Linked DNA regions of Arabidopsis thaliana. The protein of the gene in region 1 interacts with the protein of each later gene in a pairwise test. Each region holds a gene or a part of one and is shown in the gene's direction. Other genes may lie near its edges. The genes, in order: KNAT1, TIFY8, AT1G35560 and BLH8.

What was found.
Region 2: the proteins of KNAT1 (region 1) and TIFY8 interact in binary tests that used the Arabidopsis thaliana proteins (3 or more experiments, as listed by UniProt).
Region 3: the proteins of KNAT1 (region 1) and AT1G35560 interact in binary tests that used the Arabidopsis thaliana proteins (3 or more experiments, as listed by UniProt).
Region 4: the proteins of KNAT1 (region 1) and BLH8 interact in binary tests that used the Arabidopsis thaliana proteins (3 or more experiments, as listed by UniProt).

The regions. Positions count from the first base shown.
Region 1 is NC_003075.7:5,144,550-5,152,881, reverse strand, and holds KNAT1 (homeobox knotted-like protein), read left to right. Parts: upstream 1-1,722; 5' UTR 1,723-2,271; coding exon 2,272-2,739; intron 2,740-2,850; coding exon 2,851-2,976; intron 2,977-3,080; coding exon 3,081-3,219; intron 3,220-3,766; coding exon 3,767-4,023; intron 4,024-4,706; coding exon 4,707-4,913; 3' UTR 4,914-5,183; downstream 5,184-8,332. UniProt on the Arabidopsis thaliana protein: May play a role in meristem function, and may be involved in maintaining cells in an undifferentiated, meristematic state, and its expression disappears at the same time the shoot apex undergoes the transition from vegetative to reproductive development.
Region 2 is NC_003075.7:15,713,355-15,720,953, reverse strand, and holds TIFY8 (TIFY domain protein 8), read left to right. Parts: upstream 1-2,086; 5' UTR 2,087-2,251; coding exon 2,252-2,498; intron 2,499-3,191; coding exon 3,192-3,361; intron 3,362-3,453; coding exon 3,454-3,710; intron 3,711-3,788; coding exon 3,789-3,885; intron 3,886-3,997; coding exon 3,998-4,223; coding exon of another isoform or gene 4,224-4,288; intron 4,289-4,294; exon of another isoform or gene 4,295-4,432; coding exon 4,433-4,521; 3' UTR 4,522-4,722; downstream 4,723-7,599. Other genes in the region: AT4G32580 (Thioredoxin superfamily protein), read left to right, coding at 419-589, 664-738, 840-1,076; AT4G32560 (paramyosin-like protein), read right to left, coding at 4,919-4,981, 5,066-5,188, 5,297-5,377, 5,591-5,698, 5,809-5,848, 6,149-6,228, 6,352-6,531, 6,607-6,720 and 2 more; LUG (transcriptional corepressor LEUNIG), read right to left, coding at 7,595-7,599. UniProt on the Arabidopsis thaliana protein: Repressor of jasmonate responses.
Region 3 is NC_003070.9:13,113,915-13,120,308, reverse strand, and holds AT1G35560 (TCP family transcription factor), read left to right. Parts: upstream 1-3,073; 5' UTR 3,074-3,184; coding exon 3,185-4,210; 3' UTR 4,211-4,483; downstream 4,484-6,394.
Region 4 is NC_003071.7:11,919,134-11,927,509, reverse strand, and holds BLH8 (BEL1-like homeodomain 8), read left to right. Parts: upstream 1-2,761; 5' UTR 2,762-2,918; intron 2,919-3,586; 5' UTR 3,587-3,607; coding exon 3,608-4,606; intron 4,607-4,694; coding exon 4,695-5,044; coding exon of another isoform or gene 5,045-5,048; exon of another isoform or gene 5,049-5,140; coding exon 5,141-5,201; intron 5,202-5,625; coding exon 5,626-5,970; 3' UTR 5,971-6,160; downstream 6,161-8,376. Other genes in the region: CPN60A (chaperonin-60alpha), read right to left, coding at 1-62, 137-258, 356-539, 854-907; AT2G27980 (Acyl-CoA N-acyltransferase with RING/FYVE/PHD-type zinc finger domain-containing protein), read left to right, coding at 7,769-8,376. UniProt on the Arabidopsis thaliana protein: Required for specifying floral primordia and establishing early internode patterning events during inflorescence development.

The DNA.
Region 1 (8,332 bases):
GTGTTTTATTGCAGGTTTAGATAACCTCATACAAGTCGTTACATAGTTATGAGTAAATGAGTTTATTAATAAATTTAGAGAACAATCTATGCCTACCGGTGAATTTTTATATAATAAATTGAATGTTTTATTTTATTGTTATAATTGACTTTCTAATCTAAAAGATAGAATTCTATGAAATTGTACACACTTTTGAAAACAATTTTTTTTTTAATAGAAAATTATAAGAAATTAGATCCATATGGTTATGGGTATTATAATATTTTTATTTATATATATATATATATATATATATATATATATTCTTCTTGCATGACCATATTAATGAGAATATTGGGATCAGAGACTTATTTATAGTGTGTTTTTAGTCTATTGCACTTGTGTTTTGGAATATTATGATATTTAATTCAAAGATGTACCCTTAATGAATGATCTTTTATGATGTCAATGTTTCAGCATCTTATACTGAAACAGAAAATAAGAGGAGGTCTTAAAGGAAAAGAAAACATTTCGAATGCAAAAATTTAACCTTTAACATTTTCGATTTTTTTTAATGAAATTCTAATAATATTGGTTCTAAGCAGCTGATTTTATTTTTTTAATAGTAAGAAATAATATATGTATACATATATATTTAAATATTTACTATCAAAATTTCCGGCATAGCAAGTCATAATTTGTAAGAAATCTTACATTTTGTTGTTTACAAACTCTCACAAGTCACAATGTAAGTTTCGGTCTAGTGCAGTGATGAGGTAAACAAAAAAAAAAATCTATCGATGAGCCAACTTTTTGATCTAGAGCCCTAGGATTTGACGATTTATATATAAATAAAACCCTAGGATTTTCGTTTCTTTTTGTATAAAAATGAATTCATAGGCACTCTATACGTCTCATGAATCATGAAATATAAATCGAGATTAAATAGAAAATTGAATGTTGACCGTGGAACAGAACAAGTGTTGAAAGAAGTGTGTTTGCAGCATGGTCTTATCATAGAGCCAATAGTTGGAAATTAGCAGAATATCGTATAATATCCACTATCCTGTAAAGCATTTTTATAATTCCTTTTTTTTTTCTCGGTTTCTAATGTAATCTTCTATCCGATAACAAATATTCGGATAGTGTGATCTCTCCACTAATATACATACGAAATTACGAAAACTAAAATTATAATTTCATCGATTTGATTAAACTCCAAAAACATCCAAGTCTTGCATCAAATATGTACATTTCTATCATATTGTTTATAATTCTTTTTTTGTTATCCGTAAGTTTTAGGCAGAAACCCGTACAGTGAAACCGAGGACCAGAACAAGATAAACGTAGTCCCCTCTCCTAAGTATAGAATTATAATGTGACACATGATCACAATTTGTTGAACGAACTCTATGTTCAACCACTAGACTACAAATTCTTGGGTTTATATCGTATTAGAAGTATATATAAATCATACATATTTTTTTTAAAACTTTTTTCTTGACTATTCTTTTAAGAAAAAAAAACATTTCATTACTAGAAAATAGTACAAAATATATCATTCAACCTAGCAAGAAACCATAGCCTGAAGTAGCCGCGAAGACCTAGTTGCTTAAACACTGAGTGGTTCATCTTAATTCGAATATTATAAACCACATTTTAATTAAGTAAATTACTTAGTCTTGTTCTAATGTATAAAATAGCCTATGAGAGGAAAACAGAAGAGAGAAGCCTTTGCCTTATCTCTTGTCCCTTCTCTCTTACCTTTATTTTAATTTTCAAATATTTCTTTTTGCTCCCAAAGCAAACGACGTCTTGTCAATCCACTCAAGCCACCCAACTTCTTCATTATTGTTAATCTCTCTCTCTCTCTCTTTCTCTCTTCTTCTCTCTTTCTCTTTTTTTTTTTTTTATTTTCTTCTCTTCCATGTCACTTCCTTGACGAATTCTATATACCTAGTTCGTTTTTTCTTCCTCAAATATATCTTTTTCAATTTATTTGGTTTTTCTTTGGGTGCAACTTCACCTCACAAAATTTTCTCTCTTTTTTTATATTAATTTGAGTTAGGCCTTTTTGATTTCATAGATGAGTCGTCTAGTCGTCTGGATTTGATGTGGTTATAGTCTTACAGAGACCTTTGATTGAAATAAGAACAAAAGCAAGAATACATACATCCTCTTCATCTTACACCCATCCTTTTTTATTTTTCTAGGGTTTTATTTTTTTTTAATTTATTTTTTTTCTTTGATTTTTATATTCTCTCTCTCTCTCAAATCTTTACTCATCTGGGTATGGAAGAATACCAGCATGACAACAGCACCACTCCTCAAAGAGTAAGTTTCTTGTACTCTCCAATCTCTTCTTCCAACAAAAACGATAACACAAGTGATACCAACAACAACAACAACAATAATAATAGTAGCAATTATGGTCCTGGTTACAATAATACTAACAACAACAATCATCACCACCAACACATGTTGTTTCCACATATGAGCTCTCTTCTCCCTCAAACAACCGAGAATTGCTTCCGATCTGATCATGATCAACCCAACAACAACAACAACCCATCTGTTAAATCTGAAGCTAGCTCCTCAAGAATCAATCATTACTCCATGTTAATGAGAGCCATCCACAATACTCAAGAAGCTAACAACAACAACAATGACAACGTAAGCGATGTTGAAGCCATGAAGGCTAAAATCATTGCTCATCCTCACTACTCTACCCTCCTACAAGCTTACTTGGACTGCCAAAAGGTTTGGTTTTATTCTTATTGTTATGTTATAATATATACTCTTTTTTTAAAGATATAATATATAGTTATGTGTGACATATATATGTATGTTCATGGGTCATGGTTTATATAGATTGGAGCTCCACCTGATGTGGTTGATAGAATTACGGCGGCACGGCAAGACTTTGAGGCTCGACAACAGCGGTCAACACCGTCTGTCTCTGCCTCCTCTAGAGACCCGGAGTTAGATCAATTCATGGTTCATTACTAACCAAAGTTGAATTTTAATTAAATGGGTCGGTTCTTTGTGTGTATATGTGTTAGAAGTCTTGATTTTCCTTTTTTATTTTTTGGTATGAATAGGAAGCATACTGTGACATGTTGGTTAAATATCGTGAGGAGCTAACAAGGCCCATTCAGGAAGCAATGGAGTTTATACGTCGTATTGAATCTCAGCTTAGCATGTTGTGTCAGAGTCCCATTCACATCCTCAACAATCCTGGTACATGTCATCAATCTCATATACATACATATATGCACATGTAAGAAATGGCTGGAGAAAACAAAGTGTAGTGGCAAGGTAGGGCTAATGATGGATTGCATAAATTGGCATGTTTCTTTGGTTCATGGTAAATTGTTGTAACATTGAGATATTAAAAAAAAAAAAAATCATAGTCTACATACATTTTCAAATGTTAATTAAGATTATAAGATAATTAAGATAATTGAGATGCATTATTGTTGGAAAGTATGTAAGATACAAATAGGTGTGCATATTTGTTCTTGTTTTCCCCATTGTGGAATCCATCCAAAGATGGGTGGGGCTTATTTTTGTTTTTTTTCTTTTCACTCGGCCCAAAAGTACTATCACAAGAACTTTTGGTGCTGCTCGTGAAGATTTATTTGGGACATTATCTTCTTCGATTTCGTTATGCTAAAACATCAAAATCTCTACTCGGATTAATTAGTCTAATCATAAAGGTAGATGACTAGAATGTTGTTAAATGACTAAACCATTTAACTTCATGAAATATATTATGTTGAAGCAGATGGGAAGAGTGACAATATGGGATCATCAGACGAAGAACAAGAGAATAACAGCGGAGGGGAAACAGAATTACCGGAAATAGACCCGAGGGCCGAAGATCGGGAACTCAAGAACCATTTGCTGAAGAAGTATAGTGGATACTTAAGCAGTTTGAAGCAAGAACTATCCAAGAAGAAAAAGAAAGGTAAACTTCCTAAAGAAGCACGGCAGAAGCTTCTCACGTGGTGGGAGTTGCATTACAAGTGGCCATATCCTTCTGTACGTATAAATTTTCTCTCATCTCTCTTTGCCCTCATATTTTTTAAAATATATACTACAAATTAAGTGTTTTAAAAACCTATCTTTAAGCTAGCAATTCCCTCTGAAGCCGCTATGTTAGGCCAAGTAGGTACTTGCATGACCGATTTTGTGTTTAAATCCTTGTACGGTTTCCAACAACATGGTTTTAAATCCGAATGCTCACAACACTAGAATTAGTCACTAGGATACATATCTTAGTCATGGTGTTCTAACCCTTAACATACTATTTTCTAACACGTATATCAATCACTTTTTTTTAAAAAATGTAAGTTTGTGATGAAATTTTTATCCATATATTTTGAAACAATTTAATTTTTTTTGTAGTTTTAATTAGTTTGAAATGAAATAACTAATCTAACCGACTGTAATGATAGTGAAAAAAACATGTTTAATATTGGTAAATATAAATGACATGTTGTTAAAAAGATAATAAGACAACATATAGTTAGTCGTTACTTGATGTCAAAGAAAAATGAAGTTAGTCATTTTACTTAGAGAATCGTTCAAAACAACAAACTTTAGGTCATTTTCCATTTTTATGTCTAGAATCATTTAAAAATAATTTTCGATTATCTCTAGCATTGCTTTTTATACATTGATTACTACATAAATGAAGATGGTTGGTTTGAGTTGTGTGGCAGGAGTCAGAGAAGGTAGCGTTGGCGGAATCAACGGGGTTAGATCAGAAACAAATCAACAATTGGTTCATAAACCAAAGAAAGCGTCACTGGAAACCATCTGAAGACATGCAGTTCATGGTGATGGATGGTCTGCAGCACCCGCACCACGCAGCTCTGTACATGGATGGTCATTACATGGGTGATGGACCTTATCGTCTCGGTCCATAAGACATCCAAAAGCTTTAGCCACATAATAACAACCTCTCGTTGCTTTCTTGTTACAACTCATGTTTTGAATTCCCCTACATCAGTTTGCTACTTATAGCTTTCTTTGTTTTCACGCCTTTTGTAATGTCTTATGTCGTTCGGGGAGTTTGAGACTTCCTAGTCAGAAATATCCCTTCATTTTATTTTCTCTTTTTTTCGGTGTATTTTGTTTTTTTGTTTTCTCACTAATGTTTTTATTTAATAATGTGTGAAAGGAAAATGCTATTCTGAAAAGGTGTTGCTCCATTTTTTTATTTTATATGGCATGAAATGTATGGTTTTGAAAGACAAAACCCAAATTGATCTAATGGATTCTTACATGCCTTTCCACAAGCTAAAACAAAATCCACAAAATGTAAAACATCGATAGTTGATAAGTCTCAAAACCATCTTTGCTTCGAACACGGTTTCAGGCATATATTATGACTTATGCGAAAGCATTACATCATAATACATAGGTCATGGAATCACTACCAGAAAAAAAAAAACTATTGTCGAAAGATTAAGTTAAAGATTCTCCCTTTGCACCCACTCGTCATCTGATGCGGACATCCAAATTAAACCAAACCGGGACCATACCAAATCAGCCGGTACATTTATCAAACCGATTGATGAAGAGCATTTTGGAGGACTCTTGCCCAATTGGAGTCTCAATCAAGCACAAGGCCTAGGGTTAATTATTCACCAGCAAATTAATTCTAAGAAGACTAATGATGATTCAAGAAGGGTCAAAGACCAGCGAGCCGAGTCACCATATTGTGGGGATATGACCGTTGCACTCTTTTTCCCTTATCTAGGGTTTGTCCCAATGGGTTTACCTAGAAAGGTTTTTAACGAGGCAACATCAAGTCATCAAGGAATCATTTACCAAGCAAATGATTCGAAGATATCAAAAGTACATATATTTGATGTACTTGCTAACAGACCGGCTGAACTACTTGCTGAAACTACCTTCTGAAGTACCGCACGAAATGAAGCCAAACAAGGAAATCTTCCTTATTCTACACTTGGACGCACCTCAAAGCTACATATGGAAACCAGGAGAACATCTAGACCACACAAGACTTATACCACACGAACTTTGGTACATCTTACCACACAAGAACCCGCTGAGCTACTACTTGCCATATATGGAGCCGAAGGAGATCGATTACCAACAACTCTTTCCTTCTTTGTTTGTGCGCTTATGTGAGAATCTTGAGACCCTCCAGAACCTTCCAAGACGTCACAACTTCCTCCCCAAGTTGACAAGATACAAGGCACATCTCACTTGCCTTATTTGGACATATTCTACAATTAATGTCCAATATTTTCATTTATGTTTTGTTTCTTTCATTAATGCCTTAGAACATTGTATTCAGCTCTATATAAGCTGATTTCTCATTCATTGTAAAGCAACCCTTGATCATTTTAAAGTAACAGAAACGTTTTCTTGTCAAAGTTGAGTCTTTGTCATTTGTTCTTTAGTTCTTTGTGAGTGAGTCATGAAGTACGTCAGGAATCTGCGGATTAAGTTTGTTGAGTGATTCAACATCCTTCATTCGTTCATTGATCGAGTGAGTCGATTACCCAACTGATTGAGCGAGTCAATCACCCAACTACCCATCAATTCCCCTTGAATCGATCCCACACGAGAGAAGCGATCGCCAGCGTGTTAGATCACCACCTTCATCATCCCACCTTCCGCGTGGCAAGTTTGGAACTCTTGCTCATCAAGTGATCAAAGGATGGATTAGCTCCAATTCTTGCATCATCATCCTTTTTTTTTTACTAATGTTTTTAAAGAGTTTTTTGCAAAACTAGTCATTTTTGAAAACTTAATTAAAAATATAGCATCAATCACGAATTGGTCAAGATTTTATGTTCTTTTATTATGTTCCAAGATGTATTTCATCTCTACTTCACTCTGATTACATTTAATCTAATTAATGAAAGTTGAGTTGAAATTTTTTTTTAAGAATATAACATCATATATATATATATATATATAAATTAAGAAAATTGCATGTGAAAGGTGAGAAAAAACAATTTTAGTGTAGAGTTGTTGGTGAGATGATTTAGTGACACTTAGTTTAGTTTTCAACTATTTGTATTTTGGGAAATTTGAGTGTATAACAAAAAAAAAACTTATATTAACTAACTAGCTATTCTAACTATAAGACTATAATATTCTATGTATAATCTATAATAATGCCATATTTGCCCCATGTTGTAGGATACATAGTTCTTTTATTTATTTTTTAATTTATTTTAAATATTTATCTTTCTTCTTCTTCTATTCTATCTTAACAAAACAAAAATTATAAGTATCCACCATCACGAAGTCATAATAATTATTTATCACTGTCACTGTCACAACCGTATCACCGCAACCACCTCGTCACCGTCACTATTAGTGCCACCACTATCACCGTTACCGTCAATATCACCACTACGGTTTACCTTGGTTGCTTGGATGCCAATGTTGTATCCCATAAAGTATAATTTTTTTGGATCGTATCGATTTAACTCCATCATTTATCATTATCACTGCCATAACCATATCATCGCAACCACCACCGTCAATGTCACCGTTAGTGCCACCACTACCATTAGCATCTACCACCAAGTCACCATGATCATTTATCACTGTTATTGCCACAATTGTATCGTCGCAACCACCACCGTCTACATCACCGTTAGTATCACCACTACCATTGTCGTCATCACCACCACCGCTACCGTCACCACTCACCACCACCACCACCGCTACTGTCAACGTCACCACTACGGTGTACCTCGGTTGCTTGGGTTGCCAATATTGTATTTTATAGGTTATAGTTTTTTTGGATCATATCGGTTTAACTCAATTCTTTGTCTACTGTTCGTTTTATACTATTTAGTTTCATTCTATATTATTGTATTTGTGTATTTTAGACAAATATTATTCATTATTTTAATAATTTGTATCAGATTTCAAAAATTTAAATCATGTTATACACACAAAAAAATCTATGTTTTACTAAAAATTGTTAAATGATTTAATCAGTTATTTTTATGAAACTAATTCAACATTCAAATCACTTGGGGAAAATATCAATTTTGCCATCTCATCATTATTTTCTCTCTTCATGTCATCATTATTATCTCTCTTCTTCCACTCTTATATATTAAAGAAACTAGGGTTCACCCCTAGGGGTAAACCCCTTTATTCACCTCCTTTTGCATTAACCAATAAAAACATACCATGTCAAGTCCTATTTAAATTACATAATAAATTAAAGCTATAATTATAAATCCAAACCGATATATAATCTCGTTTAATTACAAAATCTAAACCCTAATTCTCCTTTGTAAACCCAAACCGTCATTTAAACTCATTTAATCGTAAAAAAATTAAA
Region 2 (7,599 bases), about 11 Mb from region 1:
AGATAAGCAAGAAAAGTAAGTGGGAAACAAGAAAGCAGAACAGTGAGATTACCAATTGTGCAAACAATCATATCATATAGTATACTTTGTTCGCCATCTTACTGTCACTTAAACAACAAAATTCACTATCATCGTTTAGCGGATTATTTTCAACTATATAACCCAGTAAAAGATAGTTTACTTGTCATGTGGTATATTTGACAGTTATCAAACTTTTGAGAGTTTGTGACACGTACGATACAGACACAAAATCAAATCTCCCTCTCCGACCATTTTTTTTTCTTAGTTACATAAATCTCTTTTCCTTCTCCAGCAACAGAAGAATTCTGCTCGATAATAGATTGGTAATCACAAAAAGAAAAGAAAAAGTGTTGGAGATCCTTCCGAGAGAGACGCGACATCTCCTTCCTCTTCGAAGATGAGTGGTACTGTGAAGGATATCGTTTCAAAGGAGGAGCTTGATAACTTGCGCCACAGCGGAGCACCACTCGTGCTTCACTTCTGGGCTTCTTGGTGTGACGCTTCGAAGCAGATGGATCAAGTTTTCTCTCATCTCGCTACTGATTTCCCTCGTGCTCACTTCTTTAGGGTTCGTCGTCTCTGTTCGAATTTTATCTCTTTCAATTGGTTTTTGACTTTGATTGGTTTTATTTATCTTCTTAGGTAGAAGCTGAGGAACATCCTGAGATATCTGAGGCTTATTCTGTTGCTCTTGTGCCGTATTTCGTCTTCTTCAAGGTAAACTTTAGGCATATTGATTCTTTGTTTGGTTGCAATTTTTTGGCTTATTGACAAAGCTTGAATCTTTGTCACTGCACTGAATCCTTTTCTTATTGAAGGATGGCAAAACTGTGGATACACTTGAAGGGGCAGATCCATCAAGTTTAGCTAATAAAGTTGGCAAAGTTGCTGGTTCTATTACTCCTGCAAGCTTAGGGTTGGCTGCAGGGCCAACGATTCTTGAAACTGTTAAGAAGAATGCGAAAGCTTCTGGACAAGACCGAGCTCAGCCTGTATCTACCGCTGATGCTCTCAAGAATCGTTTGGAAAAACTCACCCTGTTATGTTATTCATGAATGGTACTCCTGAAGAGCCTCGATTTTTAATATCTATTGAGTACTTTCTTTATAGTTGGAATTCTTGTGGATATATATCAGGTAGCTACTTGGAGCAAACATGTTGCTAAAGTTGACCTGCTACTGTTGTTTGAAGAACACGTGCTATGTCTTGTCGTTGAAGGAATTATGTTCATATGGGAAGAACATAAGCCTACTGGAAAGTTTACCCCTAGCTCTATTGTTAACCCAGATACTTGAGCCTCCATATCACAAACATCTAGTTAAGGTTTGTGTAGTAAGAACAAGAAAAACAACACGTGTTCCCAATTCCCATATAAATGACCATTATACTTCTATCAACCCAATTAATCACAGTCCGGAGACTAGTTGATTAAAAAATCAGCTAATACTAATTTGGTGGTTTCAATAAACATCTTAAATACTCCATAATTAAACTAGATTAAAGTGGGAAAAATCGTCATGAGTAGTTGTAAAATCGATTTCATTTAAGAGTATAGAAATTCGTCATGAGTGGTTGGTTCATGAGTTCTCTCTCTTACTCATATTAGAGTAAGAAATCAAACACTTATAATCATTCAAAATTCAACAACTCTCATCTCAAAACCATATATTTAGGTAAAGTTATATGCATACATTTTGCATTTTAATTTTAAAACAGATTATTTGGCGCGTAATGATAAAATTATGTGTATAAAAATTATTTAACTAATCGATCTAACAACCACATATGAGTAAAGTAGTTAACATTGTACTACTACACCAAATTATAGTGTGTTGGTTAGATTAGATACACAAACTCACTTTCTCAAATCAATAACATTATGAATCTATGATAACCTTAATTTAAAAAGAGTCTATAATGCCATGATTTTACAATCGTACTTTTTTCTTTTGGGCTGAACTTTTAATCATATATTATTTGAAAGATGTGATTATTATAATATTAAAGGGAATTAAAATCATGTAAGAGAAACCCAATAAAGTAGCTTGAAGAAGAAAAAGACAAGCTTTATTATACACTTACCCAGAAAAACAAAAAACAAAAAACTGATAATATCTCTCTCTCTCTCTCTCGTTGAGTGTGTCCATGAAATAATACTCTGCCAGAGACAGAGAGAAAGACTGTAACGGAGGATGTGGTGGCGAAGTGGCCACACTGACACACTGGTTTCATGATGGTGAACCACAACAATGGCCAGCGACCCACTGATATTGATTCTCGTCTCCGACAGACAGAACAAGATAAGCTCTTGTTCCATGACTTTTTAGGCTCCAAGAATCCTACTTTAGCATCCACTTCCATGGCTGACCATAGGCTACCACCGGATAATAAGGCGGCTAAAGCGGCGATGACTCCTTCCACGGCTTCTGCTTCCTCCGCCGGTGGACTCGGCGGTCTCTCCTCAACCTCCGATCTCGGTTCTGCTCTGTCTCTCTATCTCTCTCTCCTGATGTTTTTGTTGTTGTTGACGTAGTGTGCTTACGCTGATGAGGTTTTGAGCTGATTCCTCTGTACATTTAGGGTTTCTATCTATAGAAAGTTCAACTTTTGTTACATAGATTCGATTTAAAGTTGGATTCTTTCTTTTCCCCCTAGTCTGGATTAACGATCGAGCTTTGATTCACCATGATTTGAAAATGTAAGAGATCATGTGAGTTAGTTTCAAATTTTTTAGTCAATTCATTTATGATTAGATCTCTTAAGTTGAAAATGGAACATCTTTGGGTTCATAAGGTTGAACAAAATGTGAATGTACATTGTCTTGTTTCATTTCTTGCCTCATTGCTTTTTTAGTTCGACAATTTAAGAAACATGAACATGGATTGTGTGTGGGCATGTGGTTGCTTGACCTCTTGTAGTGTTAAGGACTCTCCCTCTCTCTCTCTCTCTCTCTCTCTCTCTGCCCAACCATAATGCCCTCTGGTGGATTAGTTGGGACATTGAGAGTGAATTTGACTGATGAGTTTGGTGGGTCATAGCCATTTGAGGTTGTGATCCTTTTTTATATGAATTGGCCCTTCTTTATTGCCTCTCGTTTTCTCTCTCTATCTCCTTGAGTTCCCTCCCACAACAATCTTTAAGTTACTTATCCATATTTTATCATTGTTTAGTCGAAAGACACAGCGGCGGTGGGAATCATCTTGATGGGATACAATTGTTTGGACCAAGAAGTGATGTTTCTGGCTCAATCATGAGCAATCGGTTTTCAGGAAATAAGAGAAGTAACTCTGATTCTCACTTCACGACTCAGGAGCACCCAGAGACTCTGCATTGGTCCAAGGTAACTAAAAAAAAAACAGAACCTACACAACTTCACCATGGTCACAGCTACGTAGAACTCAGTTTCTGTAATATGTCATTGTCATAACCTAGTTGCTTAGAAACGGACCTGGAAGCTTCTCCATGAATGTGAATCCTTTGGCAAACCAGCCTCCACGCGGAGGAGGACAGATCAGTCATTTGCTTCATCAGCTGTCTACTAGCAGGTTCAAAGATGAGAACGTAGGCCCATCAGTTATTGCTCAGACAGCTGCTGATGAAGGTTCACGAACAGGGATGAAAGGTCCCGGTATCTTGAGTTCTTTTACAATGCCAAACTCAAGCAAGCTCGAAAGTTTTGCCCCTTCAAAGTCAGTTAGCTTCTAGTGTTTTGTGTCTCTGGTCTTTCGATACTCTTCGAGTCATTTCAATACACTTTGTATTTGCAGTACCGGAAATCGGAAAGACTTGGCGTCGAGTACTAAGCAAATGACCATCTTCTATGGCGGTCAAGCTCATGTCTTTGATGACGTTCACCCAAACAAGGTGATTCTCCCTAACACTTATACACTTGATATTCAAGTTATTTGACTACATTTTGATATCTAAAAAGGTAGAGAATTGAGAAGTTCATCTGATGAATGTTATTTTTTTGCAGGCGGATGTGATAATGGCCTTGGCAGGATCAAGCGGAGGCTCATGGTCTACGGGTTTGTCTCATAAACCGAAGTCGAAGAACAACACAAGTGACGGTCCATACAAGCTAGGCCAAATGTATGAAGGAGGCAGCTCTAAGGAAACACCACAAATGCCCCCGGAATTTCGTGCAAGGCCGAGTCATCAACCTACCTCCAGTGCCTGTCACCGGATCTTTACACAACCAGGTGACTTCTTTTTAAAGAAAACCAGATTTCAGCAGAAATTTTGGTTAGCTTCTTACAAATACTGAGTGGAGTAGAGTAATCAGGTCTTATTTTGCATTGTGACATAATAAAATGAGGATACAACAGTAAAGAGTTATCAACTGTTCTGGGTTTTATCAACTTGAATCTGTTTGAGGAGCCATAAAACCATGTACATGTATGATTTGCAGGTAGAGAGCATCAAGGAAGCATCATCTCAAGGGGACGAGATATCAGAGATCCGGTTCACAGATCAGATCCTGAAAAAGAAGCCACATGATTAAAGTCTGAATATGAGAGACGATGAGTGTGGCTGTTCTTCTAAGTTGTTGTTTTTTTTGTTTTTTTTTTGTTTTTGGTCAACTTCTTCTAAGTTGTTATTTGTTGACTTGATAGCTTTGTACAATGCTCTGTACCTTTCTAGGTTTGTATTCAAACTCATCTCCTCAATGATTTAGAGAATAATATTTTCTCATAGCTCATATATAAACATATTGGTCAACCAAACCTACTATTTCTAGGCCTATCGATTTTCGTATATTTCCATGTAAGGCTGAGCATATGGATACATCACATCACAAGAGAATCATATCTAAATCAACTCTGGCTCTACTCTGGTTAGCTGTAACTCGAAAGGAGAGTCACTTCATATCACCTTATTCAAACCCTTCTTCGAGTCAGAGGTGTTCGTTCATGGCAGATATATGACTTCTCAGCCTCTCATTCTTAGTACATTCCTCCTGCCATTGAGAAATTTAGCACTACGTAAGTAGATGACTCTCGGGCTTTTCAGTATAAACACTTATTTCCTATCTTGTGCTAACCTGGTATGCTCTTAGTACAGTGTAGCATTTTCTTTGCTCTGCAGCTGCAGCTATATACTTTTCTTTTGAAGCATCACGGAGCCTCTGCTCTTCTTGAAGCCCAAGTTGTATTTTTCCAATCTTCTGCACTTTAAACATTTTGTTATGACAAATCATACAGCTATAGATAGGTAAGATGGGTTAGTTCATGCTTTGTGCCTCAAATACCTGATTCAATATAACTCAGATTACCTGTTGGATTCCTTTCATGACTCCTTCCATTGAATCAATAAGCTTCACACGGCCAGCAGGAGTACCAATCACGTCTTGAAACTACAATCAAGTCAACGGAATTATGGTGAAACTTTGACTCACCAAGAGATATACTAAAAGGGGAAAGCAGAGACGTAAATCAACTTAGTAATGAACATAAGCTATTCTCAACGATATAAGTACATGACAACTAAAGGTACAACGTGGAGAACAGTACAAAGCAGATGATGCTAGTTATAGAAAATCAACAAAATAATAATGCCTGTATTTTACCTGTGAACCTATGGAATTCAATAATGATGTCTCCTTAAGCATCAAATCTTTGATTTCTAAAAGAGCATTGTATGTTGCATAGAGCTTCCTAGTTTGTTGAAGTTTCTCCTGTTTTTAGTCAGATATCAAACAAATGTTCGTCAAGCTAGCAAGTTCATTTTCAACTAAGAAACAAACCTGCAAAGCAACGAGGCAAATATTAATTTGACTATTCGAACCTGAATACAGACATTCAGCTCTGAGAATCTTCTTTCATATCTGCACGGAATGAAATATTGGAATTTAGCGTGAAATAAATACACCAAGTGGGAAATTAGCCATAGTAAAACTGGATTCCACAAAGCTACACGCAAATTAACTTGACTCCTGACATGATGATTCATATATTTTACAACATAATCAAAGATACTTGCTCATCAAACCAGTGGGAGTGGTGGGGTTAAATCAAAAAAATTGTTGAGATGAAAGAGTTTCAACGCGAACAAGTACACAAATACAAAGTGCCAAATCCAAGGCATATTATCTTAGAAGTAAGAAAGTGGGGGAAGAAGAGCATACTGGAGGAGTTCAGATTGGCATGGCACATCGTCAATCTGTCGCTTCAGAGAGACTATCTCTCTTAGCGTTGCTCCAAGCTCCTACAGTAAAATGAAGGGAAATGCAACAATAAACTTCTTAGAAACACAAACGAAAAAACCTGAATCTCAACTACATGATGCTGAAGATGCATAGAGGCTGTCTATAGCATAGAAAGAGTATACCTTCTTTGCTGAAGTGAGATTATCTAAAGATACAACCAACAAACCATCTAAATCTTCCTCTTGAATCTCACCATCAAGCCCCTTACCAGCTCTCTCCTCCAAATCATGAACTGCATCTTCTAAAGCAGAACGTTTAACATTACAACGAGACCTGACTTCAGATTCCTCCTTCACAAATTCCTGAAAAATCCTACAACTATTAAAGTTACATCACCTAGGGCCACTCACAATTTACTCATCTCAACACTTATTTACCTTGAGTGATCTAAGAAGCGGTATCAACTCCTGGACTGAAACATCAACAACTTCCTTGCTTATTCTTTCTCGCAACTGCTGCAACTTATCCTTAGCATCACATTTTCTCTGATTCTAAGTTACAAATGACAACAAAAGTAAAAACCTTTGCACGGTTTGATCAAAAACACCATAAGATAGAAGCAAGAGACTTTATTTGCTGAGGAAAGAAGAAACAAAGCACCTGTTCTTTCACTTTCACACTCAATTCTCTTACAGATGCCTTCAGATTTGTCACCATTTCCTCAGGCTGCTCTGACGTATATTTCTCCTTCACTGAAAGACAAACCTGTGGTTTCCAGAGTATATCAGAGTTTGCTCTAACAGATCAAGTTATCATCGAACATTTCATCCTTCGATTGAGGAATCAAAATTAAGCAAAAAGAAATCGATGAAGATCCTGCTAAATTGCTAACCTTGTCACTGTTATCGTCTTTCTCCATCACCAATTACCACGATTTCAGATACGACGGAGCCATCACGACTTTCACTTCGACATTGCGTTTAGGATCACGTTTGCGTTTACAACTTTCACGTTTGCGTTTTCAACTATCACGTTTGCGTTTAGTTTTATACTTTTGTAGTTTTGAAATAAGATGCAACTGTATTATTGGATTGGCTCTCACATTTCAATTTTCAAGCGTTTCGAAAAGCTAAAGAGTTATTGAAACGTTCAAACATAAAATACCAAACCAACCCAAACTAAGTGAAGAAGAGTGCCAGTAAATTAAAGCTGAGCCAAAAGGACTAGTAAAGATTACAACAAGAGTTGTTCACAATTTCTCAAGATCCCAATTTCGTCAGATCATACAACAACATTTGTTCAACATCTGGAAAACTATCTTGAGATCGAGATAATGGCCGAGAGAGAACACTACAAGTTAAAAAAAAAACCATGATTACTAATAATACCTAAACAACAAACGTCTCTTTTCCTCTCTCATAGTTTTCACT
Region 3 (6,394 bases), on another chromosome or scaffold:
GAGGAAGAAATATTGAAGTACGATGTTGTAGGTGATCGGGGGCAAATTGATCTTGGAATAAGTAAGCATAAAACAGTAGCAGAGGCTTGGGAAGGCTATAGACAAAGACGACACAGATCTACTCACCTTCAGGCCATAGAAACAGCTCTCTTACAACAAAGAAACGATAGAACAGAGGATGAGGACATTGTTCTTTGGAAAGGTAAAAATGACGTATATAAGCCACAGTTCTTGACTAAAGAGACCTTGAATCATATGCGGACCATATCCATGGACGTTGATTGGTATAAGGGTGTTTGGTTTGGTCATTCCACGCCAAAGTACTCTTTTTGTGTTTGGTTAGCAGTTCTTAACCGACTCTCAACAGGAGACAGAATGACTCATTGGAATGGAGGTCAGTCAGCCGCTTGTGTGCTATGTCACAACGCTCCCGAAACCCGGGATCATCTCTTCTTCTCCTGTGACTTTGCTTCGATAGTTTGGAGTAACTTAGCAAGAGGAATCTATGGAGACAGATTTTCTACACATTGGCAAGACCTGATACAAGCCATCTCCGGCTCTTGGATGACACCGCTTGACAGTTTCTTTGCGCGATATCTCTTTCAAGCCACGGTACACACCATTTGGCGCGAAAGGAACGGAAGGAATCATGGAGAGAAACCAAACTCAGCAGCTCTTTTAATCAAATGAATAGACAAACAAACTCGGAACCAGCTTTGTTCGATCAAAGCAAGTGGAGATAAGAGATATGACAAGGGCTTACAAGCTTGGTTTGCGATGAGAGAATGAGAAACAATTTTTAGATTGTATTCTAGTTTTTGCTCCAGTTTTTTCAACAAAATGTTGCACATAGATGTAAAAACGCTATTTTTTTTTTGGATTTAATTTAACATTACATTAAAAAAAAAAAAAAAAAAAGTACGATGTATATCACAAGATTATAGAAATACGAGATTCTATGTATCTAGGTGGTATCAAAGAGAAGTGAAAGGTTGAGGAAACTTTTTACAAGAAATGTAAAATGGGATGAGTGAAATTAAAGGGAATGAAAGAGAGTAGAATTGTTTTTTGGATGAGAACTCATGAGATCATACCTACACACAAGACCAACCCAAAGCTAAAACCTGTAAAGCATGGGCTTTTTAGGCAGTAGATGATTCTAAAACAATTTAAAAGCACCATTTTAGAGATATATATGGTCGAAGAGTGATTAACACTTTCACTCTCTCACCATTTTATTTTATTTTTAACGTCTTGCCTACACATTTAAAACATTAATTGGTTGATACTTTTATACTTTTTTAAGCAATTAAAATAATTTATTTAAAAATAAATGTATATAAAAAAATATTAATAGTTTATTTCTTAGATACTCAATGAGTCTCCATCCAATGAAGGTGCTCTAACAGAATCTTGAACAAGGCTACATACTATATGGTCTTGTAAATGAACATTTTCACTTTTTGGAGAGAACAGAGACAAGACAATGGACCGTGGGAGGATCCAGAGTTTCAGACCAAACATCACGTTTTTTTATCACTCGCTTCTTGTACTTCTTCAACTATCTCTGACTGTTTTACTGTTTTCTTTCACTGCTAATGCTTACACGTGCATCTGTCTCAACAATTATTTTTCAGGAAAATAAAAAATAAGAGAGATTATATATACAGTTCAAAATATAATTGCATATATATATATATATATATATATAAATTATATAAAATATACTGTTCAAATATAAAGTTTTTTTTATAGTGGTTTGGTTTCACTTTCATTGTTATCTATAATTTAGCTCACGGTGCGTACATGTAACTTACATTAAGAACAGCCAAAAAGCTCAAGCTCGTGTCCAAATTAAGATTCCGAATGGTATAGCTAGCAATATAATATATTATATGGTTTTGGATTGATAAAAACATAAAACCTAATAAAGGAATTTAATTGATATAAAAAATGAAACAATAATACAGTCTAAATATTCAATTATGAATTAAAATATTGCAATAAATCAGTTAATAGGCATTAATACTAATATGATTATACATACATGGTTAATCACTAAGAGCAACGTGAATATCAATAAACTAATTGATTTACTACGCTTGCATAATTATTTTCCTTAAAACTTTTTGATTTCGAATACTTTGTTAACACCCTGATACATGTGCATATAACATAGTAGGCTGAAATTGGACTATTCTTAGACAGTTTTCACATCTAGAATGAGATGTATAGGTTTCGTTGAGAAAAATTGTAGTTGAGATGATTAGTTATATATAACCTATGTCTGTGGGTGCTAATTTGGCAGATGGGAAAAGAATTGAAGCCTTTATATATAGTCTTCAATTATTAGTATCATCGTTAATAAAAACAGTGGTCCTTATCTCTCAACAAGTCTTTCATCAAATTCGGATAACAAAGACAAAATAGAGAATCAAAGAAAGAGACATTTGTGTTATTATCAGTAAATTATTAAAAAAATAAATAATATTAAAACACTATTATATTGGGTGTAAATTGGCTCTATGATTAGTGATTAGTTTTTTTCTTTTCCCCCATAGAACATTCAACGTTTCCCACCCATGCAAAATCCAACCTAAAAGCCAAACTTTATAAGGAAACCAACAAATAGATCCCTACAATCTAAAGATTGCAACAAAAATGCCCCAAAATTATAATCTTAGACAATCCACACCTTTTTCAATCATGTAAAACACTTCCAAACTTTTCATAGTCCATTGCTAAAAATAGTTTTAGTCTCACAAAGTTAGACCAAAATTCAATACATTCGGCGCATAATTATTTTTATACTACAATATAGTAAGTGTGATAATAACCAAACAAAAAAAGGTTAAGTGATCATTTGGTGTGGAAACAGCAAATATTGGTCTCTACTCTCTACTACAAAAACCTAGTGGGACTACAAATGAAAATAAAACACAAAAGAAAAAGAAAGTGAAAGTCTCTCTCTCTTTTCTACAAGCTGCTTCATCTTCTTCCTCTCACTCTCTCTTTCTCCAAACAAGTAAACAACAGTCAACACAAACTCATAGCCCCACCAGAAAAAAAAAATACTCCAAGAATTTATAGGTTATAAGTAAAAATTCAGTACAAGTTTGTTTGTTTGTTTATTCCATTTTCTTGTGTGTTTTTTTCCCCATAATTTATAAATTTTATAAGCAATATGGAGTCCCACAACAACAACCAGAGCAACAACAACACCACTGGTTCGGCCCATCTGGTCCCATCCATGGGACCAATCTCCGGTTCAGTCTCATTAACCACCACTGCTCCAAACTCCACTACCACCACCGTCACCGCCGCTAAAACACCCGCAAAACGACCGTCCAAGGACCGTCACATCAAAGTAGACGGACGTGGCCGGAGGATACGTATGCCGGCTATCTGCGCAGCACGTGTCTTCCAACTAACACGTGAGTTACAACACAAATCGGACGGCGAGACTATAGAGTGGCTGCTCCAACAAGCGGAGCCAGCTATCATCGCAGCCACCGGAACTGGAACCATACCGGCGAATATCTCTACTTTGAACATCTCTCTTCGAAGCAGTGGCTCTACTCTTTCAGCTCCACTGTCTAAATCTTTCCACATGGGAAGAGCGGCTCAAAACGCTGCCGTTTTTGGGTTCCAGCAACAGCTTTATCATCCTCATCATATCACGACAGATTCTTCTTCTTCTTCTCTTCCCAAAACATTCCGTGAAGAAGATCTTTTTAAAGATCCTAATTTTCTAGATCAAGAACCCGGTTCAAGATCACCTAAACCGGGATCCGAAGCTCCTGATCAAGATCCGGGTTCGACCCGGTCAAGAACACAAAATATGATACCGCCGATGTGGGCACTAGCGCCAACGCCAGCCTCCACAAACGGAGGTAGTGCTTTTTGGATGTTACCAGTCGGAGGAGGAGGAGGTCCGGCTAACGTTCAGGATCCATCACAGCACATGTGGGCGTTTAATCCGGGTCATTACCCGGGTCGAATCGGGTCGGTTCAGCTAGGGTCTATGTTAGTGGGAGGTCAACAGTTAGGGTTAGGTGTTGCAGAAAATAACAATTTGGGGCTATTTTCCGGCGGAGGAGGAGACGGTGGTCGGGTTGGTCTCGGAATGAGTCTTGAGCAAAAGCCTCAACATCAAGTGAGTGATCATGCTACTAGAGACCAAAATCCTACTATAGATGGTTCTCCTTGAAAGACTTCATGATTTCTTTGGTTTTTAAAAAGTGTGAATGTGTGATTTATTGCAACTTTTGTTGAGGACTCCAATGTTAATATGGGTTTTAGGGTTGGCTTTTCGGGATTGCCAAATTGTTATTTAAGAAAATGGATTTATTGTTTTGGTTGCATAATAATTAACGAGTTTTGCAACTCTTTTTATTCGATGCAAAAGCATGTCACTTAAAGGAAATATAGTTGAATCTCTATGTGTAACATAATGGACAAAAGAATAAATTAAATATTTATCAGAATGCCTTTTCTCTTTTGTTGAAGGGTATAATTGAATACACCTTCTTTGACCGCTCATATATTTCAAATATTTCGAATTGATTGCAGTTCGTAAAAAGCTAACGAATATAAATAAAAAATTATATGGTGTAGACTGTAGTGATAAACTTTATTGGGTGCATGAGCACCACATGTTTGGATACAAATGGGTTTTTAGATTTATATATTAATTCTCTTTTAAAATTCGTATTTTGTCTATCATACTTTTGTAGTATCTACCAAAAAATTGTCCACTTGTGGAGCAACATGGACACGTCAGAGAGAACTCCTATGCCACAGTAAATTCCAATGTGTTTGAAAAATAGGCTGGACGGGTAATCAGGCGAAATGCCGTTTTTAATGTGACTAGGGGTTAGCCCGGATATATATTTTGATAATTGATATTTTCAAGTTAGTTGATATAGTTTAAAAAAAATATTGGATTTGATTTCGGAAGTGTATATAATAGATGGTTTATTGGGATTTTTATATATTTACTATTTTTAATATATTTAAAATATATTAGAAATAATATGTTATCATGTCAAGAAGAAAGAATATGATTTATTTTACTTGTGATTTATATATCTATCATATATGGGATGTAGAAGCATGCTCCTAACTTAAGCTTTAGCAAGTTACATATTAACATAAGACTTGTTACATAATTCTGACCAATTACAATTGCTAGAATACGTGTATCAGTAATATTTTAGAAAACGTTAACATGCAAATATAAAAATATTACTTATCCTAACTTCTGTCTTTTATTAATTCGTGTATTGACTATTTCATATTTTTTATTTATCTTTCTCTCGTATTACCAATGTCAAAGCGGAGTATTTGGCAAGAAAAATTCGTGTCAAACCGCTACATATTACCTATATAAACAATTTTCCGCAATCTTGGTTCATCTGAACTCTAAATAATATCTGATGACAAAAAATAAAATCACTCTCAACATTCTCTTCGGGAAAAATGTCATGTAATCATTCAACTTTAAAAAAATGGCCATTTTATATAGGAATTTCATAGTAAGCTATTTTAAATATCAACTAAATGTTGACTGCCATATTAAACATGAAATTGCGTTGATCAGACCAATTTTGACATGACGTTAAAATGTGATTACGGAACCACTAAAAGCCGATATCAGTCGTTAACTATTCTGTAGTCATGTGTTTTGGTTATTTGTATTCTTTTTATTTTTTTTTGTCTTAGTTTTGTTGTGCGTTAACGATTGATAACAGTTGTTAGTGGTTATGTTAGTAGATTTTAAAATCATGTTTTTTTTGGCCGGGTCAACATTTAGTTGATGATTAAAATAGCCTTATACGAAATTCATGTTCAAAATAGCCTAAATTTGAAAGTTGGTAATTTGACTAACAGAATTGTTAACGACTGTTAGTGGTTCCGTTATCGGATTTTAATGTCATGTCTATATATATTGGTTAGGTCAATACAATCTCATGTTTAATACAGCAGTCAATGTTTAGTTGATGTTTAAAATAATATACTATAAAAATTCAATATAAAATGACCATTTTTTAAAGTTGGACGATTAAATGATATTTTTTCCATTTCTCTTCTCCTCTATTCTCACAGCGCAGTTCTCAAAGGTGATTTTTTTAATCATCCTTCCGTTGACCTTATACACCATCTCCGACCCTCCTCCTTCGTAGATATGCTCTGCTTCCATGCACATTTTGATGAGGGAGAAGACCCATCTATTAATAATTTCTTATGCATTGTAAACATCGATCTCAAGAAAACATTTTCTCTACGTGGTATCTATGGAACATGCAGCTGATATTAATTATTGGCTGTGATTAAACTCAAAGCTTTTATAAACTCGATGAGAGAGTAGTGATGAAACTCAAACATATTTTAT
Region 4 (8,376 bases), on another chromosome or scaffold:
CGAGCAAGGATAGACGCAGTGGTTGTCCCATCACCAGCAGAGTCATTAGTCTTACTCGCAACCTACCACATAACAACACCAGATTACCGCACCGTATAAATAGCATTAACAGAGACAATAACAAAGCTACACCAACCTCACGAATAAGCGCTGCACCAGCATTTTCCATGGCATTAGGTAACTCAATAGCTCTAGCAATGGTGACTCCATCATTCACAACCTTAGGACTTCCAAATTCATCCAACACAACATTCCTCCCTTAAGAATAACAAATGAAAACACCAAGATAAGTCGAAAGATAAATAACACAGATGAAGATGGAAAGAGTAAAGGAGCTACTAATATTAACAAATACCTCTAGGGCCAAGAGTGAGACCAACACAATCAGCAAGCTTATCAATACCAGCTTGTAGAGCAGCTCTAGAGTGCTGGTCAAAAGCTATTTCCTTTACATTAGCTCTAACACTAAAACGTCTGATTGTCCTCTTGTTGTAGCTAACTCTCTGACCTTGCTGCTGATTTCCTCCTCCCAACTTACTCTGTATACCCACAACATCAATAAAGCAGATTCATTAACATTAATCTCAATCAGTTTCTTCTAATTCCCATAAAAATTAACCTTTTCTCACCAACCCAGAAACCAAATAGAGAAAAGCAATTGAATTGAAACAGAACAAACTAAAGGGTCAAATTCAATCACTTTCTTCAAAAACCCAATAAACCAGATAGAGAAAGGTTTTTGAAAATAGATAACACTGAAGGGTCAAATCCAATCAAAACAAAGTAATGAAAGATGATTCATTTTCTTCTTTAGTAAGTAGCTAAGGAAGGTAAAAAGGAACAAACTTTGTACCTGACGGGAAGAACAGAGGACGGAGGCGGAAGAGAGAGCGTTTGCAGACGCCATTTTGAGAGAAAAGGAGGGAGCTTTTTGAGGAACGTTCTGGATTGGTGTGGATAAGGAAGTGGTTAGTGTAAACGAATAGTGTGGGAGGAGGGGTTAGGGTTTATTAGATAAATGGAGAGAGTAGCTGAGAGAAAAAGGATCCAGAAGATTCTTTGCATTCGTAACGAGAGAACCGTTGATCTTAATAAGCCTTTTTCACCTACTTCTATGGGCCTGTTTGTCTCACTGTTTATGGCCCAATAATAGAAACAGTACTCAAGAAACTTTTATAGTTTGTGTATTCCAAATTCGTTTTTATCCATTCTCTTACTGAATGTACTCACTCTGTTTTAAAATATAAGAGGTTTAAGGTAAATGGATACATATTAGGTCATTTTGTATATAAAAAATAGTATTTAGATTTTGTTAAAAAAAATGATAATGAAAACTGCAAAATATAAATAGTCACAAATAGTCAAATTAAATTTAAATTTAAACTTGTAAAACATCTTATAATCTGAAACAAAATAAAATCCCTAAAACATCCAATATAATGAAACAAAGGGAGTAATATTTAGACCAAACTAATAAGTACAATTTAAGACTTGTGAAAACCATGAGATTATAAAATACATGTTAAGTGGATGAAAACACCTAGCTTAGAGTAGATTTACCCGCTAAGTAAAACAGAAACTCTCATAAAGACAACAGTTACTACTTTTCTAAACAGAGAATAGACTCCAAATCACCTAATTGCTACATGATTAATTGATTTAGTTAAGCCAATACAATTTGTTTCTAAATCTTTTTTCATATAAGTATTGCTTGTTGTACGCATCATATACCATGCATTAAATTAGTTTCCCATGAATAAATTCACTAGTTACGGAAAAGAAAAGTTGGGAAGTGAGATAATAAATCTGACAAAAGTGGCAGTTTCAACTCTGAAGCGTCAATCACATAAATAGTTGCAGTTTGGCGTTGGGTTTGATTTGATTGAGTGAATTGACCAAATAAACACACTTAATTAATAACAAAAGGGAAGTTACGTAACACAAAAATTATAAATAGGGACGTCTACATGTATTATTCCTCAAAAGATGCAGCTTACCATAAGATGACGTCCATATCTTTAATGGAAACCGTGCCGTAAAATTGACTGCCAAAATGTACAATGTAGAAAACATGAGTAAACTAACAGTTGTCCTGATGTACAAAAAAACACACTAACAGTTGTCCGATGAAAAGAAAGAGACATGTAATTTAAAGCATTACGACAAAAAGAGTAAATAAATAACACTGTTGTTAACTTGTTTTAGTAATCTATTGTAATTATTTTCTTGAGTGGTTGTGATTGAAACGAAACAATTTAGTGGACTACTAAGCAAAAATAGTTAGGATATATAGAGCATGCAACAAAAGACATGCAAAAACATAATTTGGTTTGATGTTTTGCATATGTGTTTATAGTTTTCTAAAACTTAAAGTGCCTCATATAAACAAATAATTAAGTTAAAAGTGTATTAAAATTCTGAAATTTAACCACATTCCTATGTTCTATATGAAAAAACAATTATTAACCATTAAACTACCATAAAATAACTAATACTTTATAGACTTATGATTTTATTTTATTTTATTAAAGAATTTAGTTAAAATTAATTTTAGGGCCGTTAATTTTATTGTTTTTTAGATATTCCGTAGTTTATTGCATGTTTCAATTTGTATAAAAATGTGTTTCATTTGGATATTGATACATGTGTATCAGTTTAAAGAAGAAAATAATTTTCGTGGAAAAAAACCGACAAAATAGATTTTTAAGAGAGTAAGTACAGTACCGTGTAATAGAAAGACTGATAAAACCCACCTTAATACGTCAAGAAAAAAACCATTACAGATTTTACGGCTTTACGCAATCATTATTCTCTCTCAGTCTCTCTCAGTCTCTCTCTCTATCTCCCACGGTCGGTTTACATACATATCTAAACTCACCACCGGAGCTCCGACGATTTTTCCGGCCACCTTCCGATCGGTATGTGTTGTGTTCCCTTTTTTCTTCTGAGATCTATCTGTCTTTATCACTTCCACTTACCTTATTCATTTTGTTTCTCCTCGCGAGTATTTGTTTTGCTCATGGTACTTATAGTTCCAAATTGAAATCTTGACGATTATGATATATATTACCAAATTTAAATCCGAATACTAGTTATATTCTCACACCTTATTTTTTGTTTTCTTGTTCTTCTTCTCTTTGTTGTTCTTGAAGTTTCCTAGGGTTTTGTTCTTATATAAAAAGTATTATTTTCTGGGTGTTTTTACTTCGTCCATCTCTCATTTCGTGTTTTCCCTGTTTTTTTTGTAGTTTTTCATTTGGAAATTTAATTAAAGGTCGTCGTTCTTTTGTTGTTATTGTTGTTGGTTATATAGAAATTAATGCATATATTATGTTAGCTAAAAGGTCCCTGTCGCATGAATCTTTATGTTCTTGTAAACTGGTTTTAATTTTGGATCTTTAAGTTCATGTTAGTAAGAATTTCATTTTTTTTGAACAGTCTAACGATTATTCCATTCATACAACTCGCTTTTGTAGTTTCTGTGATCATAAAAAAAACCTCTTCCAATTTACAGATGTTTATTAATTAATTTGCTATATATATGGAACTCATGCATATTTAATTTGTTGGTAATTTCTTATGATAGAATATCAAAAGGTACATAAAGATGGATATGATAAAACCAGATTTTCAACAAATCCGAAGAGATAAGTTTAGAGTTGAGCAAATGAATGATTTTCCCAACACTTGGACTCAGCAGCAGCATCAGAACATCAGAATTCCCAACAACCTTGATTTGATTGGTATCTTACAGAACCAGATTTCCGTACCGGTTCAAACCGATTTGTATCAAGATTCTGCCGCAACCTTTATGAACATGCCTCAGTCGATACATAGAGACCCACAAGGCCCTAGTAATTGGAGAATCAGTGATTTGTCACAACCTAGTACCGTGAATCACGGATATGATCAGGCTGGTATTAGGCCAAACAACGTTGCAGATTTGTTGTCCGATCATTTCAGTTCTCGAAACCAAATATTGGACCGTCCTCTTTATGTCGGCCGGGACTCTATTCCTCAGTCTAGCATGATTAGGAGAAGTGAAGTTTCTTGTCTAGACGATAATCAAAAGGGTTGTGTAACGGTGGCTTGTTCGGGTACTGGTAATGAGATTTTAAGGAGCAGTTATGATCAAGGTTCTTCTTCTGGAAGTTACCGAGGAGAATTTTCGTTTCTCCCAAGTTTGGAGAATCAATCAGTTGCGCACAATGCAAGCAACTGGAACCACGGACCAGTGAATGTTACTGCCACTTCTCATACTAATAGTAAGAAAGGCTTTCCACTCTCACTTTTGTCTGATATCCCTCCATCTAGAGACGTTGGAAATGCAGCTGTTTTGTCAACAATGAATATTCACGGCCCACTCGGGCCTTTCACGGGATATGCATCGATACTGAAGAGTTCGAGGTTCTTGGAGCCGGCTCAGAAAATGTTAGAAGAGTTTTGTATCTCTTATGCTTCAAAGATTATTAGTAGAAGTGAATCTACTTCCATGGAGGATGATGATGATGATGATGATAACTTGTCAGGGTTTAGTAGTTCTTCTGAGCCATTAGAACCCAAGAATAGACTAAAGAAAGCAAAACTTCTCTTTCTGCAAGAAGAGGTTTGTGAAACTATATTCTTACACAGTCATGTTTTAATCTATAGATTCGTTACAAAACTAACATGTTATAACTTGTGACATTGAAAAGGTTTGCAAGTGGTACAAACTATATAATCATCAGTTGCAAACAGTTATGTCTTCCTTCAATACAGTGGCTGGTCTAAACACCGCAACACCGTATATCTCGTTGGCTCTCAAACGGACTTCACGAAGTTTCAAGGCCCTTAGAACCGCAATAGCTGAACATGTGAAGCAAATCTCAAGTCACTCATCAAACGGTAACAACAACAACCGATTCCAAAAGAGGCAAAGATCTTTGATTGGTAACAATGTCGGGTTTGAATCTCAACAACAACATATCTGGAGGCCTCAAAGGGGATTGCCCGAACGTGCAGTGGCTGTTCTTAGAGCATGGCTCTTTGACCATTTTCTTCATCCGTAAAGCCTCACAATTTTTTTGATGTAATTTGATTTTATTTGATATGATGTTTTGATGTGATTTCTCATATCCTTTATTGCTAATACTGTTATTAGGTACCCCACTGATTCTGATAAGCAGATGCTAGCCACTCAAACTGGTCTCTCTCGTAACCAGGTAGCTCAATTATGTAATTCTTTGTTTGGTGAAACTTTTAAATATGCTTGTCTCTTGAATTATTGCTCTTGGCCGGTCCTGTTTTCTTCTATTGGTTTAAAGCATGTTGATGGGACAATAACCTAATGGTTTTAGAATTTCTTACTCTCAAATAACATCAATCTTATATGTTAAAGTAAAGCATGCATATATAGAATTAGTCTAGATTTTATGAAAGACAAGTGCATGTGTAACTAAAAACTGAAATTGTTCTACGTGTAAATAGAAGATTAACTTTTTTCAAACATTTCCACCATGAACCATGTCAGGACAAAGAGCGTCTCATTATCCTCACATGCAAAAACTCTTTAGTATAGACTTCACCTAATTTTAGGTTTGGTTTTTGACAAGATTTGCTGACTTGGTTTCGTGTTTTTTTTTAAAGGTATCAAATTGGTTCATAAACGCCCGTGTGCGATTATGGAAACCTATGGTGGAAGAAATACACACACTTGAGACCAAAGCAATTAAAAATGCAGATACTAGTCACAACATTGAGCCATCAAATAGACCGAATACTGTTAGCAGTCCGAGCCATGAACAAACGCTAACGGGCCTCTCCGGGACAAAACGGTCGAGGTTAGAGTACATGGACATGGTGGGGTTCAATAGAGGGAACGTGTCACTCACGTTAGAGCTTAGGCGTGGTGTGGACAATGTTATCCAAACGCAGACTCAGGATCATCAGTTTGGAACTGGAAGCCAAATGTTTCATGACTTTGTGGGTTGAAAATCCTCTGCTTTTGTTTCACCTTTATGTATTTTGGGTAGAGTGAAAATAACAAAGTTGTCTTGAAATGGTTACTCCTAACTTAGGGCCACAAAGTTCTCTGATCACCTTTTTAGTTATTTTTTTTGTTAAAAACCTTTTTAATTATTTCTTTTATGTTATACTAAGATTAAGATCCGTCCCTTGTGGGTTTAAAATTTTTAAGTTAAATTAAACTTAACAAAACTTTGATTTTTAAAATTTTATTGTATAACTTGCCAATTTGGCTAATAAGGAGAGGCAGTCCACCAGACAACGAGTGGAAAGAATGATAGGGTGGGTGGCACCGAGTGTGGGCTGGATGAAGTTGGTGAAGTTATCCGAGATATAGCTGGAGGTTCGTGTAAGGATTTACTCTAAATATTGGTCGTTGTTCGGCTCTCTTGGCAGAATTGTGGGGGAGGAGGGGAGGGGGTTATTATGACATGTACATCGCGTGGGAGAGGAAAGCGAACTTTTTGGAAGTGGAAGTTAATCGGAGGTGGCGGTTGGATTTCTCACGACATGCCACATCCGCTGTCTTTTTTGGTATATTTGCGCCATGACGGTATATATTCAAGGGACTGAATTGTCCGGATTTCTCATTTGTATAAGAAAGCTAATTAACTCGCAAATGATAACTAACTATGCTATTTTTTACAGCTAGGTTATCATTTTGATTATGTTCCGCCAATTTTAGAGACACTTGTTAGTGATAACAAGACTGTGAATACGTGTCCTAAACAAACTTTTATATATAATAAACTCGGGAGACATTGTGTCCCAAATGCATTACATCAAAAAAAAAAAGCATTTTACGTAAAAATTTATTTATTTTGAATAATTATGTAGAATTTTTAAATAATTTTTATTATTAACTATAGTTAAATTATTTTCTATCTTATAATAATAATATAATATTTAATGTTTTAATACTTAATATAATTATAAATTATATTTTTTTGATCATTTTCGATTTAACTGTTGTTGTACCTAATTGTTAACTAGTCATAAAACTTCCGCAAAACGTATCAATTCTCAACCGCTAAATTAAACGCATCTGCTTCATAATGCTTGAAACAACAACCGCTCATCTGTACAAACTACAACAGTCGCAACCACATCTACTACGTATAAACCAGTCCAGCCCTAAATTTCTACGTGAAATTGACCAGTTCTACACAATACATCTCACATATGAAATCCTTCCTTCATGGGAAATAAAAACATTTTGCTACATTATTTTCATTTTACACAAAGCCATGCAAGTAACCAAAGTATGCTTCGAAAGCTTAAGACAAAACAAACAAGAAAAAAACATCCAAGATTTTGACAAGACACATTCAAATCCTATACAGTTCATCGCAAGAAAAAGGATTCCAAGCTACAGAATATACTTCTATAGGGGTTAAATCATAAAACAATAAAAGTATATATGCTTCTAAGAAATAACTCAAAACTAATGATATTAGAGAAAATTTCGAATAAAAATACAACAGATAAAATTTCAAAAAATAAAAATAAATTAAGTCTTCTTCAGAAAATCAAAACAGCTTTTTCAACTTCTTCTTTATCTCTCCCTTCTCTTCTGGTGATAACTACGGAACCCTAATTTCTTCTCCTTCTTCTTTTGGTTAGGATAAGCGAATCCCTACAAATTGAACCTTTAATCGCACTCGTTCATAGATATGAATCCATAACTACATCGATGCGTTTTCTAGGTTTTCGACATTAATAGGAAGTTAAGGGATTGATTTTACAAGTTCTTGCGTTTGAATCGATGGCGAAAGGTACGGCTACTGGAGAATTTGTGGCTGTTTCACAGGTTCGTACTGGGTGTAAAAGAGAATTGCAATTTGTTTTGAAATCTCAGTCTGAGATCTGTGGTGGTGAGTCTTTAGGTCGGACTAGGGGAAGTAGAAACTTGAATGGTGAGTCTAGAAGTGTGGAGGTTAAGAAATCGATTCGCGCGTCTGGTTTAAAGAGTGGGATTAAGAAGATGCGTTTTAGTAAAGATGAGGAAGTTGGTGAAGTTGTAATGTCTGATACTGTTGGTGTTGGTTTGGAGGAAGAAGAAGTTAAGAGTGATGTTATTGATGTTGACTCTGCTTTGGTTGAATCTATGAGTGAAGATAAAGGACTAGAAGAGAAGAATGATGTTGAGATTGAGAATGGGGATGATAATGTGGTGATGAATGAGGATCACTTACTTGAGCAAACTGAGAAGGTTTCAGAGAAGGTTATAGAGGCTGAGAAGGTATGTTCGATTGGAGGAGACAGTGTTATTGATAGAGAAATAGTTGTGGCATGTCCTGCAGGTCTTAGTGTGATGGAAAAAATGGCTTCTAGATCTTGTAAGGTTAAGTTGGAAAGAGGTTTGGTCTATGC